Anolis sagrei: one gene and its partners. The protein of the gene in region 1 purifies or fractionates together with the protein of each later gene. This does not show direct contact. Links are inferred from orthologs where the notes say so. Each region holds a gene or a part of one and is shown on either strand. Other genes may lie near its edges. The genes, in order: H2AZ1, WDR5, NAP1L1 and RUVBL2.

Region 1 (6,854 bases):
CAGTTCCTAACAGTCTTCCGGCTGTTAGGAATTCTATTTATTTACAACATTTATAAGCAGCCTTTTTACCCTGAAGGGGACTTAAAGAGGCTTACAAGTTATATGTACATACAATACATATTATTAGAACAGCACATTATTATTATATGACTGTATTATACTATACCAATATACTGTAATATTATTAGTAATGTTACATGTAATATGAAATATACAATTATATTGTATTACTAGTATTATATTGCATTACATATTATCAATATTATACATGTATATAATATATTATTAGCACAGTACATTAGTATTACATATTACTACTAGCTATCCCCTGCCACTCGTTGCTATGGCCAGTTTGTGTATGTGTTTTGTGTGTGTATATATGTGGTTATGTACATGAATTGTAATTTTTTTTTTGCTTTTTTGAGTCTTTTCTGCTGGGTTTTTCAGTGTTTTTATGAGTGATGGTCACTCATTGGTCTGATAGATGTATTGTGTCCAAATTTGGTGTCAATTCGTCCAGTGGTTTTTGAGCTATGTTACTCCCACAAACGAACATTACATTTTTATTTACATATTGTACTATACCACTATACTGTAATATAAAATATACAATTACTATATTGTTAGAATCATATTGTATTACATTATCAATATTATATGTGTATAATATTGATAATATAATCAATATTATATTGATTATAATGGCGGGGACGAGAGTCAGGGCCTTTTCAGTGGTGGCCCCTCAGCTGTGGAATGCCCTTCCTACAGATATCAGATTGGCCCCCTCCTTATTGGCATTTCGGAGGAAAGTGAAGACCCGGTTGTTCGAACAGGCATTCGATTAGGCAGTGTAATTGATTATAGGAACACGGAGTAACGGATGATGATATTGGATTCTGATTCTATTGATGAGACGTGAATGATTTCCATCTTGTCTTTACTAATAATATAATATAGTATATTATATATACATATATTTATAATATTATAATGTAATACAATATAATGGTACAGTGCAATATACTAATATTATACTGATATTGTACTACGCTAATAATATAATATATTGTATGAAAATATATATTGTATTGTCGAAGGCTTTCATGGCTGGAATCACTAGGTTCTTGTGGGTTTTTTCGGGCTATAGGGCCATGTTCTAGAGGCATTTCTCCTGACGTTTCGCCTGCATTTATGGCAAGCACCCTCACCACCTCTGAGGATGCTTGCCATAGATGCAGGCGAAACGTCAGGAGAAATGCCTCTAGAACATGGCCCTATAGCCCGAAAAAAACCAGAAGAACCTAAAATATATATTGTAAGCCGCTCTGAGTCCCCTTAGGGGTCAGAAGGGCGGCATATAAATGCCGTAAATAAATAAATAAATATTGATGTTTGTTGTTATGCTATTTGTTTTTAAATGCTCCAATGGTTTTGTAATGTGTGTATTGAAATTGCTGTTGTTAACCGTTTTGAGTTGCCTAAGAGTTGAGAAAAGCAGTATATAAATGAAGTAAATAAATAAATAAAAATACAATATATTGTGGGAGTTGAAGTTCAAAACACCTGGAGGAAGGACCGAAGTTTGCCCGTGCCTTTTCCATTGGGGCTGCATCTTAATGCATGGAAAGGGGGTTGGGACTGGACGTGGTCTCTCCCAACTCAGTTCCGAGCACAACTCAAGGTGCTGGTTTTAACCTACAAAAACCTGTACGGTTCCGGTCCAGTGTATCTGTCCGAACGTATCTCCCTCTACGTCCCACCCGGAGTCTGAGATCATCTGGGGGGGGCCCTGCTCTCGACCCCACCACTGTCACAAGTGAGGCTGGTGGGGACGAGGAGCAGGGCTTTCTCAGTGGTGGCCCCTCACCTGTGGAATTCACTCCCGGGGGAAATCAGGGCATCACCATCCCTCCTCGCCTCCAGGAGGGTGAAGATGTGGTTATGGGACCAGGCCTTTGGGCACTCTGGCAATTAAATCAGACAACCAGGCGAGTATGTCCAACAGGATTGATGAAGTGGAATGTAAAACTAGATCTATGAGCTAGCGAACGCTGACCATGTAAGAGGCGAAACTGGGTTTGTATTGGTTTTATTGATTTTATGGTTATAATGCATGAATTGTTGTAATTTTGTGTATGATTGTTTTATGATGCAGGCATCGAATTGTGCCTTTGCCTTTGTAAGCCGCCCTGAGTCCCCCTCGGGGTGAGAAGGGCGGGGTAAAAGAACCCCAAATAAATAAATAAACTCTTTGATTCTATCAACTTTTTCCTTCCTAGAAGGACGCAAGACAAGGCCGAACGCTTTGCAACACCCCCCAAGTGCCCACCTGCAAGCCAGCTCTCTGTGAACGGGACACCGTCTTGGTTTTGGTCTTCCCAGAGTCTTTCCCAGCTTTGCCACCGGCCTAGAAGAGCACAGAGAAAGAAGCAGAAGAGGCAAGGCAAGTCAACACGTGGCCTCCTCCTCCTTAGCAACCACCCCCGCCCCGCCGCGGGCTGGCTCCCACGTGACGCAAGGGCTTGGGGCGGAGAGGGCGCGCGAGAGGTAGGCAGGCCCGCGCGTGCGCAGTCTCCTCTTCACAGCATTCCCTCCCCCCCATTCTATAAGGCGTCGGAGCCGAGGCGCATGCGCGGTAGGTCCTCCACGAGCCTTACTCCCGGGCGCATGCGCGTCACTCTTCTCCCACCGCGCCCCTCACTGTCCTCTAGCCTCTCCCTCTTTCTTTCCCCATCCGGGTATTCCTTATGCCAGGCAGCCGACAGCACGAGACTAGGGCGCATCACGCGCTCCCTTCACAATTTTTTCCCCTTTCTTTCCCCTAATCTGCCCTGATCCGCTTCACCCTCGCTTACCATTTCGAATGAGGCCTTGGAATGAGACACACGAAAGCAGAACTGAGCGCAGACCTCCCTGACGATGCGAAGACGGCGGCGCCAGTTCAAAACTGCGCCCGCTCCCGCCTTCCCCGAGCCCTTTATAGGCGGCTCTAACGTCCCGTCATCCGGGGCCTCGCGTCGTCAAACCAGCCAATCGGCACAATGAGGCGGCTCCCCCTGCGCCCCGGGAGGACCAATAGGAAGCCGAGCAGGAGGGAGGGGGAGGGGCTTGCGTTCGGAGCGTCTCGCGCCGAACTGTCCCGTATAGGCCCCGCCCACCTGAGCCCCCAGAGGCGTTTCTCTCTGTTCTTTCCTCTCTCTGCTCTCCTTCCCCGCCTGGAACGTTTCTCTCTCCCATCACCACTCAATAAAGAGACATCCCCACTCTCCTCTTTGCAGCTGGTTCCTTTTTCTCAATTAAAAAATATATAAATTTCCCCACTTTCCTGTGAAGAGAAACTCTTCTGAGCGTTTTAGTCCTTGGGGACTTCAACTCCCAGAAGCCCCTGCCAGCGTGGACCACTCTCAGGAATTCTGGGAGTTGAAGTCCAAAATACTTAAAAGGGCTGTAGGTTCCACTAAAACTGGATTGTAGGGAAAATTATAAAGCAGGCATGAGCAAACTTGGGCCCACCACTTCTTTTGGACTTCAACTCCCACCATTCCTAACAGCCTCAGGCCCTTTCCTTTTCTCCGTCAGCTCTCCAGGTGTTTTGGACTTCAACTCCCACAATTCCTAACAGTCTCAGGCCCTTCCCTTTTCTCCTTCAGCGCTCCAGGTCTTTTGGACTTCAACTCCCACAATTCATAACAGCCTCAGGCACTTTCCTTTTCTCCTTCAGCCCTCCAGGTGTTTTGGACTTCAACTCCCACAATTCCTAACAGCCTCAGGCACTTTCCTTTCCTCCTTCAGCCCTCCAGGTCTTCTGGACTTGAACTCCCACAATTCCTAACAGCCCCAGGCCCTTTCCTTTTCTCCTTCAGCTCTCCAGGTGTTTTGGACTTTAACTCTCACAATTCCTAACAGACTCAGGAACTTTTCTTTTCTCCTTCAGCCCTCCAGGTGTTTTGGACTTCAACTCCCACAATTCCTAACAGCCTCAAGCCCTTTCCTTTTCTCCTTCAGCTCTCCAGGTCTTCTGGACTTCAACTCCCACAATTCCTAACATCCCCAGGCCCTTTCAATTTCTCCCTCAGCCCTCCAGGTCTTCTGGACTTCAACTCCCACAATTCCTAACAGCCTCAGGCACTTTTCTCCTTCAGCCCTCCAGGTGTTTTGGACTTCGACTCCCACAATTCCTAACAGCCTCAGGCACTTTCCATTTCTTCCTCAGCCCTTCAGGTCTTTTGGACTGCAGCTCGCACCATTTCTAACAGCCTCAGGCCCCTTCCTCGCGCCGAACTGGAAAGGAAGGGGCCTGAGGCTGTTAGAAATGGTGGGAGTTGAAGTCCAAAACACCAGGAGGGCCCAAGTTTGCCAATGTCTGTTATAGAGGAATACTAACTGCTGTGCATTGCATCTACCATGTGTACCTTCAAGTGGTTCTCGACTAATGGTAACCGTTGTTGTCACAGGGTTTTCTTGGCAAGATTGGTTAGGATTGTTGTTGTTGTTGTTGTTGTTGTTGTTGTTGTTGTTGTTGTGTGCTTTCAAGTCATTTCAGACTTAGGTTGACCCTGAGCGAGGACCAGGTAAATGACCTCGGAGGGCCGTATTTGGCCCTCGGGCCTTAGTTTGAGGACCCCTGTCATAGAGTCTCAACCAATTCAACCTAGTTTGTGACAGCCACAAAAATGAAGTTTCTGGAGTAGAACAGCTCCAGAATATCGAGCTTATGGATATAACTTTGAAAATGTATTTACAGTCTGCTTTTTTATTGTACTTTTGTGATTGCTTAGTCTGCTAATTTTGGAATTACTTCTGGATTATTTTTGAAACTATCTTTTCTATTATATACCTTTTTCTTAATAAACTTATTACTTATTGTTGAACTGTGGTGTTTGGGTATTTATTTATTGTGCCAGAAGTGAATTGAGAATGCAGTTATAATTCATATAAAAACCATAAAGTTAAAAGCTTGGCATTCTACTACATTTCTTTTAACCAGAAGCTGGCCACTTGCAGTACCTCTGGTGTGGCTGTAAGAAGATCCACCATTGTGCATGTGGCAGGGCTCAGGTTGCATTGTAGTAAGTGGTCTGCGGTTTGCTCTTGTCCGCACTCGCATGTCGTGGGCGGCACTTTATGGCCCCATTCCTTAAGGTTAGCTCCGCATCTCGTGGTGCCAGAGCGCAGTCTGTTCAGCGCCTTCCAAGTCACGCAGCCTTCTGTGTGCCCTGAGGGAGTTTCTCATCTGGTATCAGCCAGTTTCAGGTTTTAACCTGCCACTTTTGGATTCTTGCTTGCTGAGGTGTTCCTGCAAGTATCTCTGTAGATCTTAGGAAGCTGCTTCTTGATTTAAAGTGTTGGCTTGCTGGCTGATACCAGAACAGAGAATGGTCCGGAGATGTCAATGTCAAAGCAGATAATTCACTATCTGCTTTGAACTGGATTATATGAGTCTATATTCCAAATAATCCAGTTCAAAGCATATAACCTGGATTTTATATGGCAGTGTAGAAGAGTCCACAGCATCCTCATATGTTCTATTCTTAGGCACTTCACATGATTCAACTGGTTTTCTGTTTATCCCAGAAAAGCTGGGATCAGATCCTGGACTTTAAAGTCTGTATGGAAGGGCCCTCAGCCTCCAATATGCTATATGACCCCTTTGCATTCATATACATATATTGATAGTTCCAGTTTCAGAGATGAGCAAATACCTCACCTACAAAGTTGTTTTTTTTAACAACCCAAACTGCCCGGTAACAGTGTGGGGTATTATGAATTCCTCATCCACAAATCTCCTTTCTGTACTTTACTTACTTAGGCAATCCCTCGTTGTCCGAGTAGGATAGTCTTCCAAGATAAGTGGCGGTGGGTCTGTAGGTGACTATAGAGCCCTCTTCTTTATCTGCATCTTCTCCCACAGTGAGGGCATTGGTTTCCAGGTGGAAGGTGGTCCCATTCTGGGTTGGCTTGATGTGCCTCCCTCTTGACACGTTTCTCTCTTTCGCCCTCCATTCGTGCCTCTTCAAATTCTACAGCACTGCTGGTCACAGCTGACCTCCAGCTGGAGCGCTCAAGGGCCAGGGCTTCCCAGTTCTCAGTCTATGCCAGAGTGTTTAAGGTTGGCTTTGAACCCATCTTTAAATCTTTTTTCCTGTCCACCATCATTCCAATTTCTGTTCTTGAGTTTGGAGTAGAGCAACTGCTTTGGGACACAGTGGTTGGGCATCCAGACAACGTGGCCAGTCCAGCGGAGTTGATGGCGGAGGACCATAACTTCAATGCTGGTGGTCTTTGCTTCTTCCAGCACGCTGATATTTGTCCGCTTGTCTTCCCAAGAGATTTGCAGGATTTTCTGGAGGCAGCACTGATGGAATCATTCCAGGAGATGCATGTGATGTCTGTAGACAGTCCACAACTTGCAGGCATATAGCAGGGTTGGGAGGACAATAGCTTTATAAATAAGCACCTTGAAATCCCTACGGATGTCCCAGTCCTCAAACACTCTCTGCTTCATTCAGAAAAAAGCTGCACTGGCAGAGCTAAGGCAGTGTTGTATTTCAGTGTCAATGTTGACTTTTGTGGAGAGGTGGCTGCCAAGGTAGCGGAAATGGTCAACATTTTCTAATGTTACACCATTAAGCTGTGTTTCTAGCATTGGAGAGGGATTGCCTAGTGACTGCTGGAAGAGCACTTTGGTTTTCTCGATGTTCAATGACGGGCCGAACTTCCCATATGCTTCTGCAAAGGTGTTTAGAGTGGCTTGTAGGTCTTATTCTGAATGCACACAGACAACTTTGTCATCAGCATATTGGAGTTCTATAACATGTTGTTGTAACCTTGGTTTTGGCTTTCAGTCTGCTGAG
Region 2 (7,456 bases), on another chromosome or scaffold:
ACTGGGTAGTTGTAGGTTTTTGCGGGCTATATGGCCATGTTCTAGAGGCATTTTCTCCTGACGTTTCACCTGCATCTATGGCAAGCATCCTCAGAGGTAGTGAGGTCTGTTGGAACTAGGAAAATGGGTTTATATATCTGTGGAATGACCAGGGTGGGACAAAGGACTTTTGTCTGCTGGAGCTAGGTGTGAATGCTTCAACTGACCACCTTGATTAGCATTTATTGGCTTGGAAGTGCCTGGGAAGTGCATGTTTTGTTGAGAGGTGATTTGATGTGCCTGATTGTTTACTTTCTGTTGTTTTGTTGTTGTAATTTTAGAGTTTTTTAATACTGGTAGCCAGATTTTGTTCATTTTCATGGTTCCCTCCTTTCTGTTGAAATTGTCCACATGCTTGTGGATTTCAATGGCTTCTCTGTGTAGTCTGACATGGTGGTTGTGAGAGTGGTCCAGCATTTCTGTGTTCTCAAATAATATGCTGTGTCCAGGTTCCAACTTGCATACAAATTCATCTTAAGAGCAAACTACCGAGCCTATCTTGTACGTAACTTTGGGACTGCCTGTACAACTTATGAACCCTTCCCTGAGCAATGTTCACCCAACTCCTTAAATGACACTGGGATTTCCAGGGCTAGGAAGAATCCAACATACTAAGCAGCCTCCGAACCTTTTGAGCATTTGAGTTTGGGAGGCAGATGCCTCCGTCGTACCTTGGTTTGGTTGGTCGAAGAGGAAGGCGTGGATTGCGTTTTGGTCGACTCTGCATCGGGTTTCTTCTCTTCCGTGGCCATAGCTCTGGAAAGAAGCCAGCCAGCTTTCAGGCTCTTCCGAGGACAAAAGAGCACGACGGCTTAGAAGTAAAAGCAGTCTCCTGGAGAAACGGACAGAAAAAGAAACCAACCAATTGTTTTCATACGGTAAATGCTTTAACATTGTTTTTCCAAAACTGACTTGGGTGGCAATTCAAACAGTGCCAAATTGAATGAATTCCACAATATAGATGCACCCTAGAGACCTTATAAAGCTACAACTCCCAGAATCCCATAGCACTGTGCCACAGCAGTTAAACTGATGCCAAACCGCATTAATTCTGCAATGTAGGTACACCCTATAAAACTTATACAGCTTATACAACTTATACATTGATTCCACAATGTAGATGAACCCTAGAGACCTTATAATGCCACAACTCCCACGATGCTATAGCAATGCCCCATGATAGCTCAAGTGGTACCCAAACGGCATTAATTCCACCATCTAGATGCACCTTAGAGACTTTATAAAAGGACAACTGCCTCACTGCAATTAAAGTGTGCCAAACTGCATTAATTTCTCAATATAGATGCACTCTAGAGACCTTATAAAGCTGTAACTCCCATGATGCCATAGCACTGTATCACTGCAATTAAAGTGGTGCCAAACTGCATTAATTTCTCAATATAGATGCACTCCAGAGACCTTATAAAGTTGTAACTCCCATGATACCATAGCACTGTGTCACTGCAATTAAAGTGGAGCTAAACTGTATTAATTCCACAATGTAGATGCATTCTAGAGACCTGATAAAACTACAACTCCCTCGATGACATAGAACTGAGCCATGGCAGGTCAAGTAGTGCCAAACTGCATTAATTCCACAATGAAGATGCATTCTAGAGACCTGATAATGCTACAACTCCCAGGATGCCATAGAACTGAGCCATGGCAGTTCAAGTGGGACCAAACTGCATTAATTCCACAATGTAGATGCATTCTAGAGACCTGATAAAGCTACAACTCCCAGGATGCCATAGAACTAAGCCTTGGCACTTCAAGTGGAGCCAAACTGCATTAATTCCACAATGTAGATGCACCTTAGAGCCCTTATAAAGCTACAACTCCCAAAATGCCATAGAACTGACCATGGCAGTTCAAGTGGGGCAAAACTGCATTAATTTCTCAATATGGATGCACTCCAGAGGCCTTATAAAGCTATAACTCCCATGATACCATAGCACTGCACTACTGCAATTAAACTGGTGCCAAACTGCATTAAATCCACAATGTAGATGCATTCTAGAGACCTGATAAAGCTACAACTCCCTCGATGACATAGTACTGAGACATGGCACTTCAAGTGGAGCCAAACTGCATTAATTCCACAAAGTAGATGCATTCCAGAGACCTGATAAAGCTACAACTCCCAGGATGCCATAGTACTGATCCATGGCAGTTCAAGTAGGGCCAAACTGCATTAATTCCACAATGTAGATGCATTCTAGAGACCTGATAAAACTACAACTCCCTCAATGCCATAGAACTGAGCCATGGCAGTTCAAGTGCTACCAAACTGCATTAAATCCACAATGTAGATGCATTCTAGAGCCCTTATAAAGCTACAACTCCCAAGATGCCATAGAACTGAGCCATGGCAATTAAAGTGGGGCCAAACTGCATTAATTCCACAATGTAGATGCATTCTAGAGACCTGATATTGCTACAACTCCCAGGATGCCATAGAACTGAACCATGGCAGTTCAAGTGCTGCAAAACTGCATTGATCCCACTTTAGCTCAGGCTTCTCCTCTCAAAGCACGTGTGCACGGCCACACACGTGTACACACTGGCCACACACGCATAATCCTTGCATATCTCAGCAATGGAAGACTTTCAGTTCGCCAGACACACAAAAACCCATGAAAGCATCCCTAAATCTGTATCTATAGAACTGGAAGCTCTTCGGGGCAGAGAAGGGAGGGGGAGGGGGGCAAAAAGGACCCCATGACGTCATCGCCACTGAGGCCTAGTCGTTGGGCCTGCGCCTTTCCCGCCTTACTCGATTCGCCCCTGACGACGGAAGGGAGGATGTCTTCCTCTTCCTTCTCCTTCGCCTCCTCCGTCCTTTTTCTCTCAGCGGCGGCCCCGTTTTCCTTTTTCTGGCCGCCGGGCGGGAGGAAGGCCTCTCGCGCAGGCGCAGTGAGGAAGGACGCAGCCGCTCCTCAGGCCGGCCGCAGCGAGAATCCGCCCCGCGCAGGCGCAGAAGGATAGCTTCCCTACGACTACGGTGGCCCCCGAGGGATAAAAAGAGCCTTCAAATCTTAATAGGCAACGCGAGCGACATCTTTTCGCTTAGCCTCCCTTGGCGCACGCGCAGGAGGGGGCCTCCCTCGGCTACGGCGGCCCGCGAAGGATAAAAAGATCTCAAAACAATACTTAAGAGACTTGAGCGCGCGCAAAACGCCTTAAAGGGACAGGGGCGAATTCTTTGGCCTGCTTGGAATGAACGTTCTGAAAGCATTTTTAGGGGATTTTCAGTAAATTTCGAAGAATAGGCCGAACTGATCTGTATCCATGACTTAAATATATCTCTATATGATTTTGGCATTTTGTATGAAGAAGTATTAAATATATATATATATGTGTGTGTGTGTGTGTGTGTGTGTGTGTAGATACACACATATATATATTACTAATTGTATAATATACTGTTAATGTATTATATATGTAATGGGATAATATTATTATACAATACAATAAATATATATAATAATTGTATATTATATAGAACATCTAATATTATTAATAATATAGCAATATAGTGGTCTAGTACAATATAATAATATCAAACACTAATATTGTGCTTATTTATTTATTTATCGTGTCATCAGCAAGCATACAATTGTATTACATTTCTAACAGAACACAACAAACCAACAGAAAAAAGAAAACAAATTTTGCAAACTTGGTAGTTGATTAAATGTCCTTTGGCCAGTATCTGGCCACTTGGAGTGCCTCTGGTGTTGCCGTAAGGAGGTCCTCCATTGTGCATGTGGTAGGGCTCAGGTTGCATTGCAGCAGGTGGTCAGTGGTTTGCTCTTCTCCACACTCGCATGTCGTGGATTCCACTTTGTGGCCCCATTTCTTGAGGTTGGCTCTGCATCTCGTGGTGAGCGCAGTTTGTGCAGAGCCTTCCAAGTCGCCCAGTTTTCTGTGTGCCCAGGGGGGAGTCTCTCATTTGGTATCAGCCATTGGTTGAGGTTCTGGGTTTGAGCCTGCCACTTTTGGACTCTTGCTTGCTGAGGTATTCCAGCAAGTGTCTCTGTAGATCTAAGAAAACTATTTCTTGATTTAAGTAGTTGCTGGCTTTTCTTATGTCAGTAGAAAAAGGAAAAACAAGGAGGCGATAGGGCCTCTTTGAGGAGAAGATGGGGCAATGCTGACAGGGGATAGGGAAAAGGCAGAACTACTTAATACCTTCTTTGCCTCGGTCTTCTCACAAAAAGAAAGTCATTTTCAATCTCCGTAAGATGGAGTGGATGAGGGATTAGAGAGATTCCCAAATTGGGAAACAAGTCGTCCAGGAATACCTGGCCGCTCTAAATGAGTTCAAGTCCCCTTTCAGGGCCAGATCAACTACACCCAAGAGTACTGAAGGAACTAACGGAAGTCATTTCGGAACCATTGGCAACCATCTTTGAGAGTTCTTGGAGAACGGGAGAAGTTCCAGCAGATTGGAGGAGGGCCAATGTGGTCCCAATCTTCAAGAAGGGAAAAAAGGAGGACCCAAACAATGACCAATGTCCGGTCAGCCTCACATCGATACCAGGCAAGATTCTGGGAAAGATTGTTAAGGAAGTGGTCTGCAAACACTTAAAAACAAATGCGGTCATTGCTAATAGTCAACATGGATTGATCAAGAACAAGTCATGCCAGACTCATCTGATGTCTTTTTTTGATAGAGTTACAAGCTGGATAGATGCAGGGAATGCCGTGGATGGAGCGTACCTGGATTTCAGTAAGGCCTTCGACAAGGTCCCCCATGACCTTCTGGCAAGGAAACTAGCCCAATGTGGGCGAGGCAAAACTATGGTGAGGTGGATCTGGAATTGGTTAAATGGACGAACCAAGAGGGGGGTTCTGGTTAAATGGACAAATCCAGAGGGTGATTCTCCCCAAGGGTTCCTCTTCATCCTGGAAAGAAGTGACGAGCGGAGTGCCGCAGGGTTCCGTCCTGGGCCCGGTCCTGTTCAACATCTTTATTAATGACTTAGATCAAGGGCTAGAAGGCATGATCATCAAGTTTGCAGACGACACCAAATTGGGAGGGAGAGCCAATACTCCAGAGGACAGGAGCAGGATTCAAAACAATCTTGACAGATTAGAGAGATGGGCCAAAACTAACAAAATGAAGTTCAACAGTGACAAATGCTAGATACTCCACTTTGGAAGGAAAAACGAAATGCAAAGAGACAGAATGGGCGAGAATGCCTGGCTCGAGAGCAGTACGTGTGAAAAGGATCTTGGAGTCCTCGTGGACAGGAAGTTAAGCATGAGCCAAAGATGTGATGTGGCGGTGAAAAAAGCCAATGGGATTTTGGCCTGTATCAATAGGAGCCTAGTGTCTAGATCTAGGGAAGTAATGCTACCCCTCTATTCTGCTTTGGTTAGACCACACCTGGAATATTGTGTCCAATTCTGGGCACCACAATTCAAGAGAGATATTGACAAGCTGGAAAGTGTCGAGAGGAGGGTGACTAAAATTATCAAGGGTCTGGAGAACAAGCCCTATGAAGAGTGGCTTAAGGAGCTGGGCATGTTTAGCCTGGAGAAGGCTAAGAGGAGATAGGATAGCCATGTGAGAGGAAGCCACAGGGAGGAGGGAGCAAGCTTGTTTTCTGCTTCCCTGGAGACTAGGACGCGAAACAATGGCTTCAAACTACAAGAGAGGAGATTCCATCTGAACATGAGGAAGAACCTCCTGACTGTGAGAGCCGTTCAGCAGTGGAACTCTCTGCCCCGGAGTGTGGTGGAGACTCCTTCTTTGGAAGCTTTTAAACAGAGGCTGGATGGCCATCTGTCAGGGGTGATTTGAATGCAATATTCCTGCTTCTTGGCAGAATGGGGTTGGACTGGATGGCCCAGGAGGTCTCTTCCAACTCTATGAATATAGTGGTCTAGTACAATATAATAATATAGAACACTAATATTGTGCTATGCTAATAATATATATATATTATAATGTAATATAATAGTAATAATAATAATAATAACACTTTATTTGTACCCCGCTACCATCTCCCCAAGGGGCTCGGTGCAGCTTACATGAGGCCAAGCCCACAGTACATCAATACAAGCAATAACAACAGTACAAGCAATTAAAATAAAACATAGACAAATAAAATATACAACATTATCAATAAGACAACACATAATTAAAAACAGTGGGAAGGCCAAATGTAAATTAAAATTGGAAGTAATGCTGGGACATGGACGAGAAGGTGATAGTGGCATTTATGGAAGGGCATATGAGCAGACCTTAAAAATGTAAAGTGCTTTGGAGGACAAGGTGCTATGGAATCAATTATTCCGGGAAGGCACACTGGAACAACCACGTCTTCAAGCTCCTCCTGAAGACTGCCAGGGTTGGGGCCTGTCTGATGTCTTTAGGGAGAGAATTCCAGAGTCGAGGAGTCACCACCAAAAAGGCCCTCTCTCTCGTCCCCACCAACCGCGCCTGCGATGCTGGTGGGATCGAGAGCAGGGCCTCCCCGGATGATCAAAGGGATCGTGTGGGTTCGAATACAGAGGTGCGGTCACGCAAGTAGGCGGGTCCCAAACCGTTCAGGGCTTTGTAGGTAAGAACCTGCACCTTGAATTGGGACCGGAAAATGAATGGCAGCCAATGGAGCTCCTTGAACAGGAGGGATGACCGCTCCCTCTAAGGAGCCCCAGTTAGCAACTTGGCCGCCGCCCGTTTGACCATCTGGAATTTCCGAGCCGTTTTCAAGGGCAGCCCCACGTAGAGTGCATTGCAGTAATCCAGTCTAGAGGTGACTAAAGCATGGACCACTTTGGCCAGATCCGCCTTCCCGAGGTACGGTCACAGTTGGCGCACGAGTCTTAATTGTGCAAAGGCCCTCCCGGCCACCACCGACGCCTGAGCCTCAAACGTAAGTGAAGACTCCAGGAGGACCCCCAAGCTGCGGACCTGTGACTTCAGGGGGAGTGCAACCCCGTCCAGCACAGGTTGCCACCCTATATCCCGGACTGGTTTACGATCGACCAGGAGGACCTCTGTCTTGTCGGGATTGATCTTCAGCTTGTTCCTCCTCATCCAGACAGCCACAGCGGTCAGGCACTCGTCTAGCACTTGAGGGGCTTCCTTGGAGTTAGGTGGAAAAGAGTAGTAGAGTTGAGCGTCATCTGCGTAGAGATGGCACCCAGCTCCAAAACTCCGGATGACGTCTCCCAGCAGTTTCATCAGGATGTTGAAAAGCATGGGGGACAGAATGGAACCTTGTGGGACCCCACAGGTCAAAGGCCAGGGGTCCGAGCAGGCGTCACCCAGCTTCACCACCTGGGATCGACCCTCCAGGACAAAGCCGTACCTCTAAGGCCCATCCCGGAGAGTCGTCCCAGAAGGATACCATGATCGATGGTATCAAAAGCCGCTGGGATGTCCAAGAGAACCAACAGG
Region 3 (7,367 bases), about 120 Mb from region 1:
ATTGTTATTTGTGGGTTGTTGTAGGATTTTTGGTCTGTATGGCCATGCCCTAGAAGCATTCTCTCTTATTATTTGTGTTTAAGGCTGGTAAGAGAAATTGTGTAGTTATTCAATTTTTGTTCAAGTATGTTGATGTATGTATAAGTATTTTTGTTTTCTTTATTTGTGCTTGATGTTGGTTAGAGAAATTGTATCATTATTGCAATCAGTCAATTACAGTATATTTATGTATGCATGTAAGTACGGATGTGTACTTTGTGTTTCGTGTTAAGAAAAACAGTGTAATTATAATGCAATTGTTCTTTGAGTATGTCTATGTGTGTATAAGTAATGTTGTTTTCTTTATTTGTGTTTGATGCTGGCAATATAAATTGTGTAGATGTAATGCTGTTCAGTTCAGTCTGTTATGCATGTGTAGGTTTGTTTTCTTTCATTTGCATTTCATGTGAATGACAGGAGAAATTGTGCAGTTAAGTTGCAATGCAATTGTTGTTCAAGTATGTCTATGTGTGTATAAGTATTGTTGTTTTCTTTGTGTTCGATGCTGGTAATATAAACTGTGTAGTTGTAATGCTTTTCAATTCAGTCCATGTGTGGGTTTGTTTTCTTTCATTTGCATTTGATGTTGACGATAGGAGAAATTGTGCAGTTAAGTTGCAATGCCATTGTTGTTCAAGTTTGTCTATGTGTGTATAAGTATTGTTGTTTTCTTTATTTGTGTTTGATGTTGCTAAGATAAACTGTGTAGTTGTAATGTTCAAATATTTCTAGGTTCTGTATGTGTGGGGTTGTTTTCTTTCATTGGTATTTGATGTTGATGCAAATTGTGCAGTTAAGTTGCAATGCAATTGTTGTTCAAGTGTGTCTATGTGTGTATAAGTATTGCTATGTGTGTACAAGTATTGAACTAACTACACAATTTATTTACATTTGATGTTACTAAGATAAACTGTGTAGTTGTAATGTTCAAATATTTCAATGTTCTGTATGTGTGGGGTTGTTTTCTTTCATTGGTATTTGATGTTGATGCAAATTGTGCAGTTAAGTTGCAATGCAATTGTTGTTCAAGTGTGTCTATGTGTGTATAAGTATTGCTATGTGTGTACAAGTATTGAACTAACTACACAATTTATTTACATTTGATGTTACTAAGATAAACTGTGTAGTTGTAATGTTCAAATATTTCAATGTTCTGTATGTGTGGGTTTGTTTTCTTTCATTTGCATTTGATGTTGATAATTGGGAGAAATCATGCAGTTAAGTTACAATGCAATTGTTGTTCAAGTGTATCTATGTGTGTATAAGTATTGCTATCTGTGTATAAGTATTGAACTAACTACACAATTTATTTGCATTTGATGTTACTAAGATAAACTGTACAGTTGTAATGTTGTTCAAATATTTCTATGTTCTGTATGTGTGGGTTTGTTTTCTTTCATTTGCATTTGATTGGGAGCAATTGTGCAGTTAAGTTGCAATGCCATTGTTGTTCAAGTGTGTCTATGTGTGTATAAGTATTGAACTAACTACACCATTTATTTGCATTTGATGTTACTAAGATAAACTGTGTAGTTGTAATGTTGTTCAAATATTTCAATGCTCTGTATGTGTGGGTTTGTTTTCTTTCATTTGCATTTGATGTTTGGGAGAAATCGTGCAGTTAAGCTACAATGCCATTGTTGTTCAAATGTGTCTATGTGTGTATAAGTATTGCAATGTGTGTATAAGTATTGAATAACTACACAATTTATTTGCATTTGATGTTACTAAGATAAACTGTGTAGTTGTAATGTTGTTCAAATATTTCTATGTTCTGTATGTGTGGGGTTGTTTTCTTTCATGTGCATTTGATGTTGATGATTGGGAGAAATCGTGCAGTTAAGTTACAATGCCATTGTTGTTCAAGTGTGTCTATGTCCATAGATGTATTGCTGTTCCCTTCCGCTAAGCAAATAGCTGCCATTGGCGAAAGAGAGGCTTTTCTGCCTCCTGGAATCAACAGCAAGGAAAGAAATGGAGGCCAGAGGTCTTGCGTTACCTGTGGACGCAACCACACCAGGTTTGCATCAACTCTCTCCTAACAACTAAAGCGGGTGCTTTTATTCCTGTGGAAAACCTAACGAAGAGCGATCAAGTCTACTCCAAGCCTACTTCCCGCCAAACAGAGACGCCCTTCTCTCTCCTCCCTCTCCCCTCCCCTCCCTTGAGACCCCAAAACTCAACAGAAGAGGGGTATGTATTTCCACCTCACGCCTCGCAAGCCACCTCCCGGCCCAGGCGCTTCAGGCCCCGGCCACGCCATCTACGTGGCGCCGGGGAAGTAAGAGGCCTCGTCCCCACGTGTTTGGCCGTGGCTTCAGGCGGGCGGACTAGGCCGGGCCGAGGTGCCCATCTACCCAGATTTTCTGAGGGGAAAGTGGCCTCAGATAGGAGAGAGAAAGCGGTTTTGCCCTGCCACGGGCGAAGAGCCACAGGAAAGAAGAGGGGGAAAGGAACCCCCTTTGCCCGCCTGCTTTCTCCATTCCCGCCAACGCCAAGCTTTCCCCCTCAAGAGGTCTTTCTTTCCTGCCTCACCGAGCAACGTCGTCGTCGTCGTCATGCCGCCATTTCAGGCATCCCCAGCCTCGCCCTCCCTCGCTCGTTCGCCCTCCCCGCCACGCGCCGCCCTCCTCTCTCTCATTCTCTCTCTCATTCTCTCTCTCTACCTGCGCGAGGCCGGCTCTCTTCTCTCCTCTCCGCTTCTCTCCTCAGCCTCGCCGTGAGTGACTCAGGAGCGGGGAAGCAGCGCCGCGCGGCCAGCAGTAGGAAAGGACCCAAGCTCCCGCCGCTCGCGCTCATATAGAATTAACGTCACCACGTAACGCTTCCCTCCCTCTTTCTCCACACACACACCTCTTTCCCCTCCTCTCGCCTTTCCCGCGCGCTCCTGTTGCTGGGCAACCCAGCCGGCGCGCGCGCACATCCGCCTCCCGCGCGCTCGGAACGTCCACACTCGCTGCCTAGTGACAAGGCCCCAAAAAATAGAAGGTGGGGGGAGTAAATCTCGCTCTCTTTCTCTCTCTCTTTCCCCCCCCCCCCGCCCGCCAATCAACCCGCCAACTCTGCCCTAGCCAATCAGCGGGCCCGGACGGGCAAGGCCCCGGCGCTTCACGGGCTGGACACGTGCTCCCTGGATTCCTTCAGGACAAACAGCAGTGCGCGTGCGCGTGAGTGTGAGGTTGGAGGGAGGGGGGAGCAAAAGGAGGAGAGCAGAGAGGATGACAGTTGGGAAGGAGAGTGGAGAGAGAAAAAGGAGGGCGCTGGCTCTAGGAAGTGGCCACAGTGGCTCTTGTTGGCCTCAAAACTTCACCCTGCAGCCTCTGGAACGCAATCTAAATGGGAAGGGAAGGCAACTAGCCCTCCTTCTGTTCAATTGTAAAGGAATATTTCCACATAATAATAATAATAATAATAATAATAATAATAATAATAATGGAGTCCCTGGTGGTGCAACGGGTTAAACTGTTGAGCTTGTTGACCAAAAGGTTGCAGGTTCAAATCTGGGGAGTAGTGTGCTGTCAGCCCCAATTTCTGCCAACTTGTCAGTTCGAAAATATGCAAATGTGAGTAGATCAATAGGTACCGCTTCAGTGGAAAGGTAACAGTGCTCCATGTAGTCATGCTAGTCACACCTTGGAGGTGTCAATGGACAACACTAGCTCTTCGGCTTGGAAATGGAGATGAGCACCACACTCGAGTTGGACACGACTGGACTTAATGTCAGGGGAAAACCTTTACCTAATAATAATGCGGAGCCCTCAGTGGCACAGTGCGTTAAACCGGTGAGCTGCTGAGCTTGTTGACCGAAAGGTCGCAGGTTCAAATCCGGGGAGTGGTGTGAGCTTCCGCTGTCAGCCCCAACTTCTGCCAACCTAGCAGTTTGAAAACATGCAAATGTAAGTAGATCAATAGGTACCGCTCCGGCGGAAAGGTAACAGCGCTCCAGTCAGTCATGCATGACCTTGGAGCTGTCTATGAACAACACCGGCTCTTCAGCTTGGAAATGGAGATGAGCACCACACCGTAGAGTCGGACACGACTGGACTGAATGTCAGGGGAAAACCTTTATCTAATAATAATGTATTACCTGTATTATTTGTTTGGTTGCATGCTGCAAGTTGCTTCTGGTGTGAAAGAATCAGCCGTCAACAAAGACATTGCCCAGGAGACTCCCAGACATGTTACGATCCTGCTGGGAGGCTTCTCTCGTGTCCCCTGCTGCTGAGTACGCATGATCAGTGTGGAACACATCTCACTACGTTAAAACAGTGGATGTGGCTCTTAATGAGACATGCCGCATTATCACAGGATGTCTACGCCCAGCACCACTGGAGAAATTATACTGTTTACCTGGTATTTCACCATCTGACATCTGCTGGGAAGTTGCCAATCATGAAAGGACCAAGGCATGGACATCTCCGGCCCATCCCCTCTTCGGATATCAACTGACACGTCAATGTCTTACATCAAGAAATAGCTTCCTAAGATCTACAGAGATACTCGCAGAAACACCTCAGCAAGCAAGAGTCCAAAAGTGGCAGGCTAAAACCTGGAACCTCAACCCATAGCTGATACCGAATGAGAGACTCTCGCCTGGGCACACAGAAGACTGGGCGACTTGGCACTGAACAGGCTGCGGTCTGGCCCCATGAGATGCAGAGCCAACCTTACGAAATGGGACCACAAAATGGGACCACAACATGCGAGTGTGGAGAAGAGCAAACCACAGACCACCTATTACAATACAGTCTTAGCCCAGCCACATGCACAATGGAGGACCTTCTCATAGCGAAAACCAGAGGCACTCCAAGTGGCCAGATATTGGATTTTAGGGTGTTCTCTAAAAATTCTCGGTTTTCAAACCAACCCTTCTGACTGTGAGCAAGACACACTCTTTCAGCCTCAGAGGAAGGCAAAGGCAACTCCCCCCTCCCTTCAAGAAAACCATGTCATAGGGTTGCCTTAGGCCCCATCTACACTATCCATGTAATGCAGTTCAAAGTTGGCTCGCAAACTGTGGTGGCTGGACAACAAAATCCCACAAAAGAAGGCAAAAGAAAGCCCTTAATGTGCATCAGTGCGCTGTGGTTTGTGCTATCACCACCTGGGCTTCGAACTGGTTCTGGGACTTCCTATGTAATCATCTACACCAGGCAAGAACAAAGTTCAGCCCTCCAGGTATTTTGGACTTCAACTCTGACCATTCCCAACAACCTCAGACCCTTTCCTTTTAAGCAGCTGAGGGGGAAAAGGAAAGGGCCTGAGGATGTTAGAAATGGTGGGAGTTGAAATCCAAAACAACTGGAGTGCCGAATTTTGCCCATGCCTGATCTACACAGCGAAAGCCATACTGCATTGCGGAATGGTGAAAAGACCTTGCAGATCTCATCCGCACACACTCCTAAGCATGGTCGTAAAGAAGGGGGATTAGGCATGTTGCACCTGGGAATAGAACAAAAGCTAATGTGCTTTAAAGATGGGAACCACATGATCAGAGCCATGAGACTCAGAATCATTTTGGCAGTCCAGTGCTGGATAGACATAAGATGACCACAGTGGAATAAAGAAAGGATATATTTGCACTGATCAAGTACATTATTTTGCCATGTTTTTACTAACAGAAAAGTTGTCTAATTTTTTTATTGAAAGAGGAAAAATTCAGCTTAATGTCTGTTGTAAAAGTTTCTTAACACTTTTGAAGACTGCTGTCAACAATACCAGCCTACATTCCTTGAATTAGCAAGAACCCTAAGCCAAGACGTATGCTTTCAAAATAAGCACCACTTCCCATCTGAGCTCCTAAGGAATTTGATAGATTTCCAGGGGAAAAAAAGGATATAGCACCATCTTTATAAATAGCTAGGTTTTATTTTAGCATGAGCTTTCTTGGGTGTACATTATGTTTATTATTTATTTATTTATTATTTATTTATTTATATACCGCTTTTCTCAGCCCTCAGGCGACTCAAAGCGGTGAACAACATCAATACAAAACATCACGAGACAAGTATAGGGCAATTAAAAACAATTGTAACATAAATCATTAAACATCTGTATAACAATTATTAACAGTAAACATCTGTATAACAATTATTAACAGCCTCAACAGTAAAATCAGAATCCAGTCTCATCATCCATTATTCTGTATTCCTATGTTCAATTACACTGTTTAATCAAATGCTTGTTCGAACAGCCAGGTTTTCACTTTCCTTCAAAACGCCAGCAGGGAGGGGGCCGATCTGATATCTGCAGGCAGGACGTTCCACAGCCGAGGGGCCACCACTGAGAAGGCCCTGTCTCTCGTCCCCGCCAAGCGCGCCTGTGATGCAGGCGGGACAGAGAGCAGGGCCTCCCCAGATGATCTTAGTCCTAGCCGGTTCATAGGAGGAGATGCGTTCTGAGAGGTAAGTAGGGCCAGAACCGTTTAAGGCTTTATAGGCACTTTGAATTGTGTCTAGTAACAAACTGGCAGCCAGTGGAGCTGGCGCAACAGAGGAGTAGTATGCTCCCGGAGTGCCGCTCCTGTTAGCAACCTGGCTGCCGAACGCTGGACCATTTGAAGCTTCCGAGCAGTCTTCAAAGGCAACCCCACGTAGAGAGCGTTGCAGTAGTCTAAACGGGATGTAACCAGAGCGTGGACTACCGTGGCCAAGTCAGACTTCCCAAGGTACGGGCGCAGCTGGCGCACAGAGCATCTTCATGCTAAAATAGGCAATGAACATGGATCCTGATATACATTGCCAAACATTAATTTGTGGTAAGACCCAGCATCAGGATTGGTTTTGTTTTAGGGCACAGCCCTGGTGCATGTGAAGTAATATTCAACATGGACATATCTGCAAGAAAATATGAAAGTAGGGTACCTCTGAAAGATACAGATTGTTTTCATAGCTAGTAACCACAACACTAAAGAAGCCATGACAGCCCTTTGGTGTAATGACAGTGGTGCCAAAATCAGATTGTGCAACAATGGATCGCTAAAGCGACAGTTGTGAGAAAGAATAATACATAACTGCATGCTTCCATAATTAAACTAGCATGATTGCAGTGAGACAGCATCTCCCACTGCAATCTGGTGTACACTGAGAGTCTAGGAACAATCAGTCTTTTAATGCATCAACAGTGCTGCTCAAGAGTGGGGATCCATGGACAAGTGCCATTCCATGTACTTCTGGCTGCCAATCTGCAGCAAGTTTCCAAGATAGAAGCAGTTATTGGTTCCTGGCACATTGGATGGAAACCATGCCAGTACTTCAATTCATAATTCTACTGGTTCTCATGAGAATGGCACTTTTAGCTGACTACAAAATCAAGACACATAAAATATT
Region 4 (7,063 bases), on another chromosome or scaffold:
TTTATTTTTGATGATGACACTTTAAATGAAGGAGAAAGGAAGAGTCAGACAAATTGCATGAAATTTTACTTTGCTAATGTAAAAAAAAAAGGACTTGTTAGATGTGCTGGTTTATTCTCTGCGACAGATTCCCCCAACCTGGTGCCCTTTAGATATCTGAATTACAGTCGCCCTACACGTTTGTGGATCCGACATTTGCGGATTTGATTAAAATGTTCTAGGATTCTCTCCATCCTCCAGTATAACTCTGTGATTAACTTTGTTGGATGTTGACTGTAGAGTCATGTTGGGAGGACGTAGAACAGGCATATGCAAACTTTGGCCCTCTAGATGTAGGGGGAAAAGGAAGGGGCCTGAGACTGTTAGGAATGATGGGAATTGAAGTCCAATACACCTGGAGGACCAAAGTTTGCATATGCCTGACATAGAACAAGGGTGTCAAACTCGAGGGCCACATCAGCCTTGAGGTTCATCGAGGGCCACATCAGCCTTGTGGTTGCCTTCAAAGGGCTGTTGAATCCATGGGTGTTGAATTCATTCATATATAGTGTCAACACTATCTATCTATCTATCTATCTATCTATCTATATACAAACACACACACACACACACACATATTGGTTAGTGCTCTTTAGTTTTTACCCAGTCTGGGTTGTCAGATGTTATTGAACAACTATAATCACTTTTGATTATCTGCTATACAGACTGTGGATAATGGAGATTGCAACCCAACAGCACTTGTCACCCTGAGGTTGGAAAGGTTAAAGGGCATTATATCCACAGGCCTTGTATCTAAAACTCCACTCTCCTGACTCAACAGGACAAACTGCAGCCTTTCAGATGCTGCTGTATCCCAACTCCCATCAACTCTAGACATGATGTCTCATGGTACGGAATACAGGAGTTGTAGTCCACCTTCTGGAGGGCCACATAAAAGGACATGGTGGGCCAGATTCAGCCCGCAAGCCTTGTGTTTGAAATGTGACCTCAGAGAGTCATACAGAGAACACCTCTCTAAAAACAAACTGTAGGTCTTCCATGCGATTCTATGGTCAATTTCACATAGTGAAAGTTCACATAGTGTCATGCTGGAGGATATCGAAATTCCTAGAGAGGTATTATCTGAAGTTTTAAAAAAGCCATTTATTTTTATTTTTCACTTTTGCCTAACCCCAGCAAATGTGAAAGGATGACTGTACAGCTCCCACCCTCCTTGACCATAGGCCAAGTTTTCCATGCTAATGCAAGTTGCATTTCAGATGATCTAGTGGACAAAAGATTAGGGAAAGCTGTACTTAAAAAAAAAGGAAATGAAACATTGAGATTTCTAGGATTAAAAGGAAGGACATAGTCCTCTCCTCACCCATGAAAATGTCATTGCTTTTTGGGACAGTGCAATATGTTGCTGTGTAACTAATTTCCAAATGCTACCTTATTCTCAAGGAAATATGCAAAGGGTTGTAATGTAAGAGGACCTTAAATTACAACCTTGTTCTGTGATAAATATCTCTGGAAATTGAGGCTTTCCTTAGAAGCTGTTTTATGGCAGTAGGATAAGCAGTAGCTCAAAGTAAGGCTTTTGTGCTCACTTTATTTTACATGTGCCAACTGTTGCTTTCCCAAGTTTTTTTTTATAAGAGTTAGTTCTGGTTTCTATGTGTGACTTTTCTTTGTTTTGCTGTTTTTAAATATATATATATTTATTGTGTTGTTTTATTGCTTGTTAATTTTCTTGATTTTATGGGAGCTTTTGAAAAGTGGAATCAATACTGTAAGATCCCTATAAACATGGAACTTATATCCATGGCTTCACTTATCCACAGCAGAGGAATAATGGTCTCTCTCTGGGAATTTGCTAGGTTTTCCAGGTGATTCTATAGTATGCTTTCCCTGGAAGTTACCATAGGGTTGCATTGGAGGACCTAGTGAATTCCTAGAGATTATATTTCTATAGCAGTAGTTCCCAACCTGTGGCTTGCCAGGTGTTTTGGCCTACAACTCCCAGAAATCCCAGCCAGTTTAGCAGATGTTAAGATGTCTGCGAGTTGAAGGCCAAAACATCTGGGGACCCACAGATTGAGAACTACTCTTCTATAGGAATCTCTAGATCCTCTAGTGTAGTGGTTCTCAACCTGTAAGTCCCCAGATGTTTTGGCCTTCAACTTACAGAAATGCTAGCAGCTGGTAAACTGGCTGGGATTTCTGAGAGTTGTAGGCCAAAACACCTGGGGACCTACAGGTTGAGAACCACTGCTCTAGTGCATCGCTTTGATATGGAAGTCATGTGATTTAATGGCATTCGGTTATATCCCAGTGGATATGGGGGTCCTACTATACATGGAAAATGTATCCTGTTCAAAATGTACTTGCAAGCTACAAACAATGTGAAAACACAGTGTGAAAATGTACAGAATTTTACTGCAAATCTCTTAATTTATCCCACAAACTCAGGGATTTGGGTGTGTTTCTGTGAAATGCCGAAAGCTTCTCTGAAGCACTGTTTATTTTAAAATAAAATATTTTAATCTGAAAAAAATCCTCAAAACTTTTATTGGTAGATGTTGCTTCATTCTTGATAATTTCCCCTTTTGTCACATCAGTTTTCCTTTTGCTTTGTGCATGCTTTCATATAAAATTTATCGTATGGCTAACTATATTTAAACAGGACTTTTTTTGAAGTGGTTTTCAACTGAAATGAAGGCAGAAAGAACCCTAAAGTATGGTGTCATAAAATAGCAATGTTCACTATAAATTTCCCAGTAAAGCAAAGAGTTAGAAGTAGATAACTAGAAATATACCGCCATAGAAACAGTTAGAACATGTGTTTGCGTTTGAACATGAGTCTCCTTGTAGAGAAAAAGTGGGGTAGCAGAAAAAGAAGGGAAAGGAAGGAAAGAAAGGGTGAAAGAAAAAGGAGGGAAGGAAGTGAAAGGAAAGAGAAAGGATGAGAAGAAAGAATCATAGAATCAAAGAGTTGGAAGAGACCTCATGGGCCATCCAGTCCAACCCCCTGCCAAGAAGCAGGAATATTGCATTCAAATCACCCCTGACAGATGGCCATCCAGTCTCTATTTAAAAGCTTCCAAAGAAGGAGCCTCCACCACACTCCGGGGCAGAGAGTTCCACTGCTGAACGGCTCTCACAGTCAGGAATTCTTCCTCATGTTCAGATGGACATGTAGTTTGAAGCCATTGTTTCACGTCCTAGTCTCCAAGGAAGCAGAAAACAAGCTTGCTCCCTCATCCCTGTGGCTTCCTCTCATATTTATACATGGCTATCATATCTCCTCTCAGCCTTCTCTTCTTCAGGCTAAACATGCCCAGCTCCTTAAGCCGCTCCTCATAGGGCTTGTTCTCCAGACCCTTGATCATTTTAGTCGCCCTCCTCTGGACACATTCCAGCTTGTCAATATCTCCCTTAAACTGTGGTGCCCAGAATTGGACACAAGAAGGGATAAAGGAAGGAAGAGAGGAAAGAATGAAGAGGTGAGAAGCTGTATGAGGTAGATGGAGGAAGGAGGGAAGCTGCAAATAGAGTATGTCTACTGTTGCCATGGAAAAATTGTGAGATGGGCCTTCTCAGAGCTGGAGAAGGGAGAAAGCAGGCCTGGGCAACAATGTGGATGTCAAATCCCAGCAGTCTAGCACATGCATGGGCAAACTTGGGCCTTCCTCCAGGTGTTTTGGACTGCAACTCCCACAATTCCTAACAGCCGGTAGGCTGTTAGGAATTGTGGGAGTTGCAGTCCAAAACACCTGGAGGAAGGCCCAAGTTTGCCCATGCTTGCTCTAACATAATTAGACAGGTTGCATTATGTCTAGCTTCTTAGATATTTAACTCATTAATTAATTATCAGGGTAAATAAACATAACAACATTTAAAGCCTCTTTTAATAAACTGGTAAAGAGACTTCACAGACACCTTGTACACAGCTGAGCTGGAATGACTATTACTACAGCAAGGACTACTGGAGGACTGAGGGAGCATAGACGTTGCCTCGGACAGAGCGCCCTGAAAGCTGAGGCCGCTTCCTGTTTCCGGTGCTGAGGAGGCAGGGCCGGCTGCCGCTTAGAGACGGCGCGAGAGACGGCGGGAGCAGCAGCATGGCAACGGTGTCGGTGAGCGACAGCCTTGTTTCCCTCCTTTGAAAATACCCGGATCATCCTTCTTTTATACGAGTTTAGCATCTGATTACTTTCTTTTTCTTCTAACTTGTGAGAGGAATGCCAGAGCAAGCATTCCCCGGTTTTGTTGGGAGTGTAACTCCCATCATCACCTCTTATCTTTGGCTATGTAGTTTATCAGAGGCCTGCAGTGTTGTAGGTGTATTACTATACTTTAGAATAGGCTTGGGCAAACTTGGGCCTTCCTCCAGGTGTTTTGGACTCCAACTCCCACCATTCCTAACAGCCTCAGGCCCCTTCCTTTCCCCCCTCAGCCGCTTAAGCGGCTGAGGGGGGAAAGGAAAGGGCCTGAGGCTGTTAGGAATGGTGGGAGTTGGAGTTCAAAACACCTGGAGGAAGGCCCAAGTTTGCCCATGCCTGCTGTAGAATGAATGCAGTTTGACACCACTTTATCAACCACAGCCCACTGCTGTTGAATCCTCGTCGTTGTCATTTTAGAAGTCCTTTAGACTTCTCTGCTTCAACAAACTACAACTCCCAGTATTGCCATGGCAGTTTAAGTGCTGTCAAACAGCATTAATTCTACTGTGTAGATTGCCTGCTGCTTGTGGCCACTTATTTCTGTGTACGAACCCACATGATCTCTTCGATCATCTGGAGAGGCCCTACTCGCGCTCCCACCTGCATCGCAAGCGCAATTGGTGAGGACAAGAGAGAGGGCCTTCTTGGTGGTGGCCCCTCGACTCTGGAACTCACTCCCTAAGGACATCAAGTATGCCCCAACTCTGGCAGTCTTTAGGAGAAGCTTGAAGACGTGGTTGTTCCAGTGTGCTTTCACAGAATAATGAACCATTAGCACACGGGTCCTTAAACTAAGGCCCGAGGGCCGAATATGGCCCCCCAAGGTCATTTACCCAGCCCTCACTCAGGGTCAACCTAAGTCTGAAATTAGGTTCTTGTGGGTTTTTTCGGGCTATATGGCCATGTTCTAGAGGCATTTCTCCTGACGTTTCACCTGCATCTATGGCAAGCATCCTCAGAGGTGAGGGTCACCTCTGAGGATGCTTGCCATAGATGCAGGCGAAACGTCAGGAGAAATGCCTCTAGAACATGGCCATATAGCCCGAAAAAACCCACAAGAACCTAGTGATTCCAGCCATGAAAGCCTTCGACAATACATTAAGTCTGAAATTACTTGAAAGCACACAACAACAACAACAACAACAACCCGCCAAAACAACAATCTCATCAGCCAAAAGCAAGCCCACACATACCACTGGAATACTAATAAGTTTATACTTGTTAAAATGGTTCTTCATTTTAATTATTGTAATGCTTTAAAGTGGGTTTTTTGCACTACAAATAAGATGTGTGCATAGGAATTCATTCATTTTTTTCCCCAAATTATAATCCAGCCCTCCAACAGTTTGAGGGACTGTGACCTGGCCCTCTGCTTAAAAAGTTTGAAGACCCCTGCCTTAGCATTATGTCCTCCAAAGCACTTTATACTGATTTAGGACTGCTTGTACGTTTCCCCAACGCCCCACCTCCTCTACCTTGTTCATGCCCAGCATTATTTTTAACTTAATTACATTTGGCCCAGCCATAGTTTTTAAATGTGTTTTGTGCCACTGTTCAATGTTTATGCTGTTTTGTGTATGAGATTTATTTTAATTGCTTTGTATTAGTATTTGTATTTTGTTTTGTTTTGTAATTGCTATTGCTTGTATTGATGTATTGTGGTCTCGGCCTCATGTAAGCCGCACCGAGTCCCTTGGCAGATGGTAGAGGGGTATAAATAAAGTATTATTATTATTATTATTATTATTATTATTATTCCATCAGCCCACTTTGGTTGGGATTAAATGTTTACTTTTAAGATGTTTTATTGTATTTTGATAGAATTGTTTAATTGATATGTCATCAGCCCACTTTGGTTGGGATTGAATGTTTGCTTTGAAGCTTCTTATTGTATTTATATTTGAATTGTTTAATTGGTATGTCACGTTTAGTACCGTATGTTTTAATTGATAATTGATATGCTAATTGTTTAAATTGATATATTTTATATGTGTAATGCGGCATTGTATGCCATGGTCTGAAAGCAGCCCTGAGTCCCCCAATTGGGGAGAGAAGGGTGGGGTATAAATGTAGTTTTATAATAATAATAATAATAATAATAATAATAATAATAATCAGAACCAATGCAATTAAGGCCTGGATTGAAAAATCAGCTGATGGTCCAAAAAGTAGACTGTGCAAGGAAGCTGATGAAACCATAGATCATATCCTCAGTTGTTGCAAGAAAATCGCACAGATGGAGTACAAACAAAGACACAACTCTGTGGCCCAAATGATTCACTGGAACTTATGTCACAAGTACCACCTGCCAGCAGTAAAGAATTGGTGGGACCATAAACCCGCAAAGGTTGTGGAAAATGAACATGCAAAAATACTGTTGGACTTTCGAATCCAGACTGACAAAGTGTTGGAACACAATACACCTGACATCACGATTGTGGAAAAGAAAAAAGTTTGAATTATTGATGTCGCCATACCAGGTGACAGTTACACTGAGGAAAAACAGCAGGAAAAACTCTGCCACTCTCAGGACCTCAAAATTGAACTGCAAAGGCTCTGGCATAAACCAGTACAGGTGGTCCCAGTGGTCATTGGCGTACTGGGTGCCGTGCCAAAAGATCCCAGCCGGCATTTGGAAACAATAAACATCAACAAAATCACGATCTATCAACTACAAAAGGCCACCTTACTTGGATCTGTGTGCATCATTCGAAAATACATCACACAGTCCTAGACACTTGGGAAGTGTTCGATTTGTGATTTTTGATACGAAATCCAGCATGTAGATCTCGTTTGCTGTGACATACTGTGCTTTTGTGTCAGAATAATAATAATAGATTCTTCCAAAGAGGAAGATA

What was found.
Region 2: the proteins of H2AZ1 (region 1) and WDR5 purify together in Homo sapiens (affinity purification with mass spectrometry; 3 studies listed by BioGRID and IntAct, with this or other methods). This does not show direct contact. The link is inferred for Anolis sagrei from reciprocal best matches to the Homo sapiens genes H2AZ1 and WDR5.
Region 3: the proteins of H2AZ1 (region 1) and NAP1L1 purify together in Homo sapiens (affinity purification with mass spectrometry; 3 studies listed by BioGRID and IntAct, with this or other methods). This does not show direct contact. The link is inferred for Anolis sagrei from reciprocal best matches to the Homo sapiens genes H2AZ1 and NAP1L1.
Region 4: the proteins of H2AZ1 (region 1) and RUVBL2 purify together in Homo sapiens (affinity purification with mass spectrometry; 6 studies listed by BioGRID and IntAct, with this or other methods). This does not show direct contact. The link is inferred for Anolis sagrei from reciprocal best matches to the Homo sapiens genes H2AZ1 and RUVBL2.

What each region holds. Positions count from the first base shown.
Region 1 is NC_090025.1:26,582,935-26,589,788, forward strand, and holds the start of H2AZ1 (histone H2A.Z), read right to left. Parts: upstream 3,001-6,854; 5' UTR 2,859-3,000; coding exon 2,856-2,858; intron 2,408-2,855; coding exon 2,330-2,407; intron 1-2,329. UniProt on the Homo sapiens protein: Variant histone H2A which replaces conventional H2A in a subset of nucleosomes. Nucleosomes wrap and compact DNA into chromatin, limiting DNA accessibility to the cellular machineries which require DNA as a template.
Region 2 is NC_090031.1:5,426,415-5,433,870, forward strand, and holds the start of WDR5 (WD repeat-containing protein 5), read right to left. Parts: upstream 3,016-7,456; 5' UTR 2,816-3,015; intron 872-2,815; 5' UTR 792-871; coding exon 711-791; intron 1-710.
Region 3 is NC_090025.1:146,472,945-146,480,311, forward strand, and holds the start of NAP1L1 (nucleosome assembly protein 1-like 1), read right to left. Parts: upstream 3,002-7,367; 5' UTR 2,893-3,001; intron 2,864-2,892; exon of another isoform or gene 2,706-2,863; intron 1-2,705. UniProt on the Homo sapiens protein: Histone chaperone that plays a role in the nuclear import of H2A-H2B and nucleosome assembly.
Region 4 is NC_090026.1:28,231,328-28,238,390, forward strand, and holds the start of RUVBL2 (ruvB-like 2), read left to right. Parts: upstream 1-4,037; 5' UTR 4,038-4,103; coding exon 4,104-4,118; intron 4,119-7,063. UniProt on the Homo sapiens protein: Possesses single-stranded DNA-stimulated ATPase and ATP-dependent DNA helicase (5' to 3') activity; hexamerization is thought to be critical for ATP hydrolysis and adjacent subunits in the ring-like structure contribute to the ATPase activity.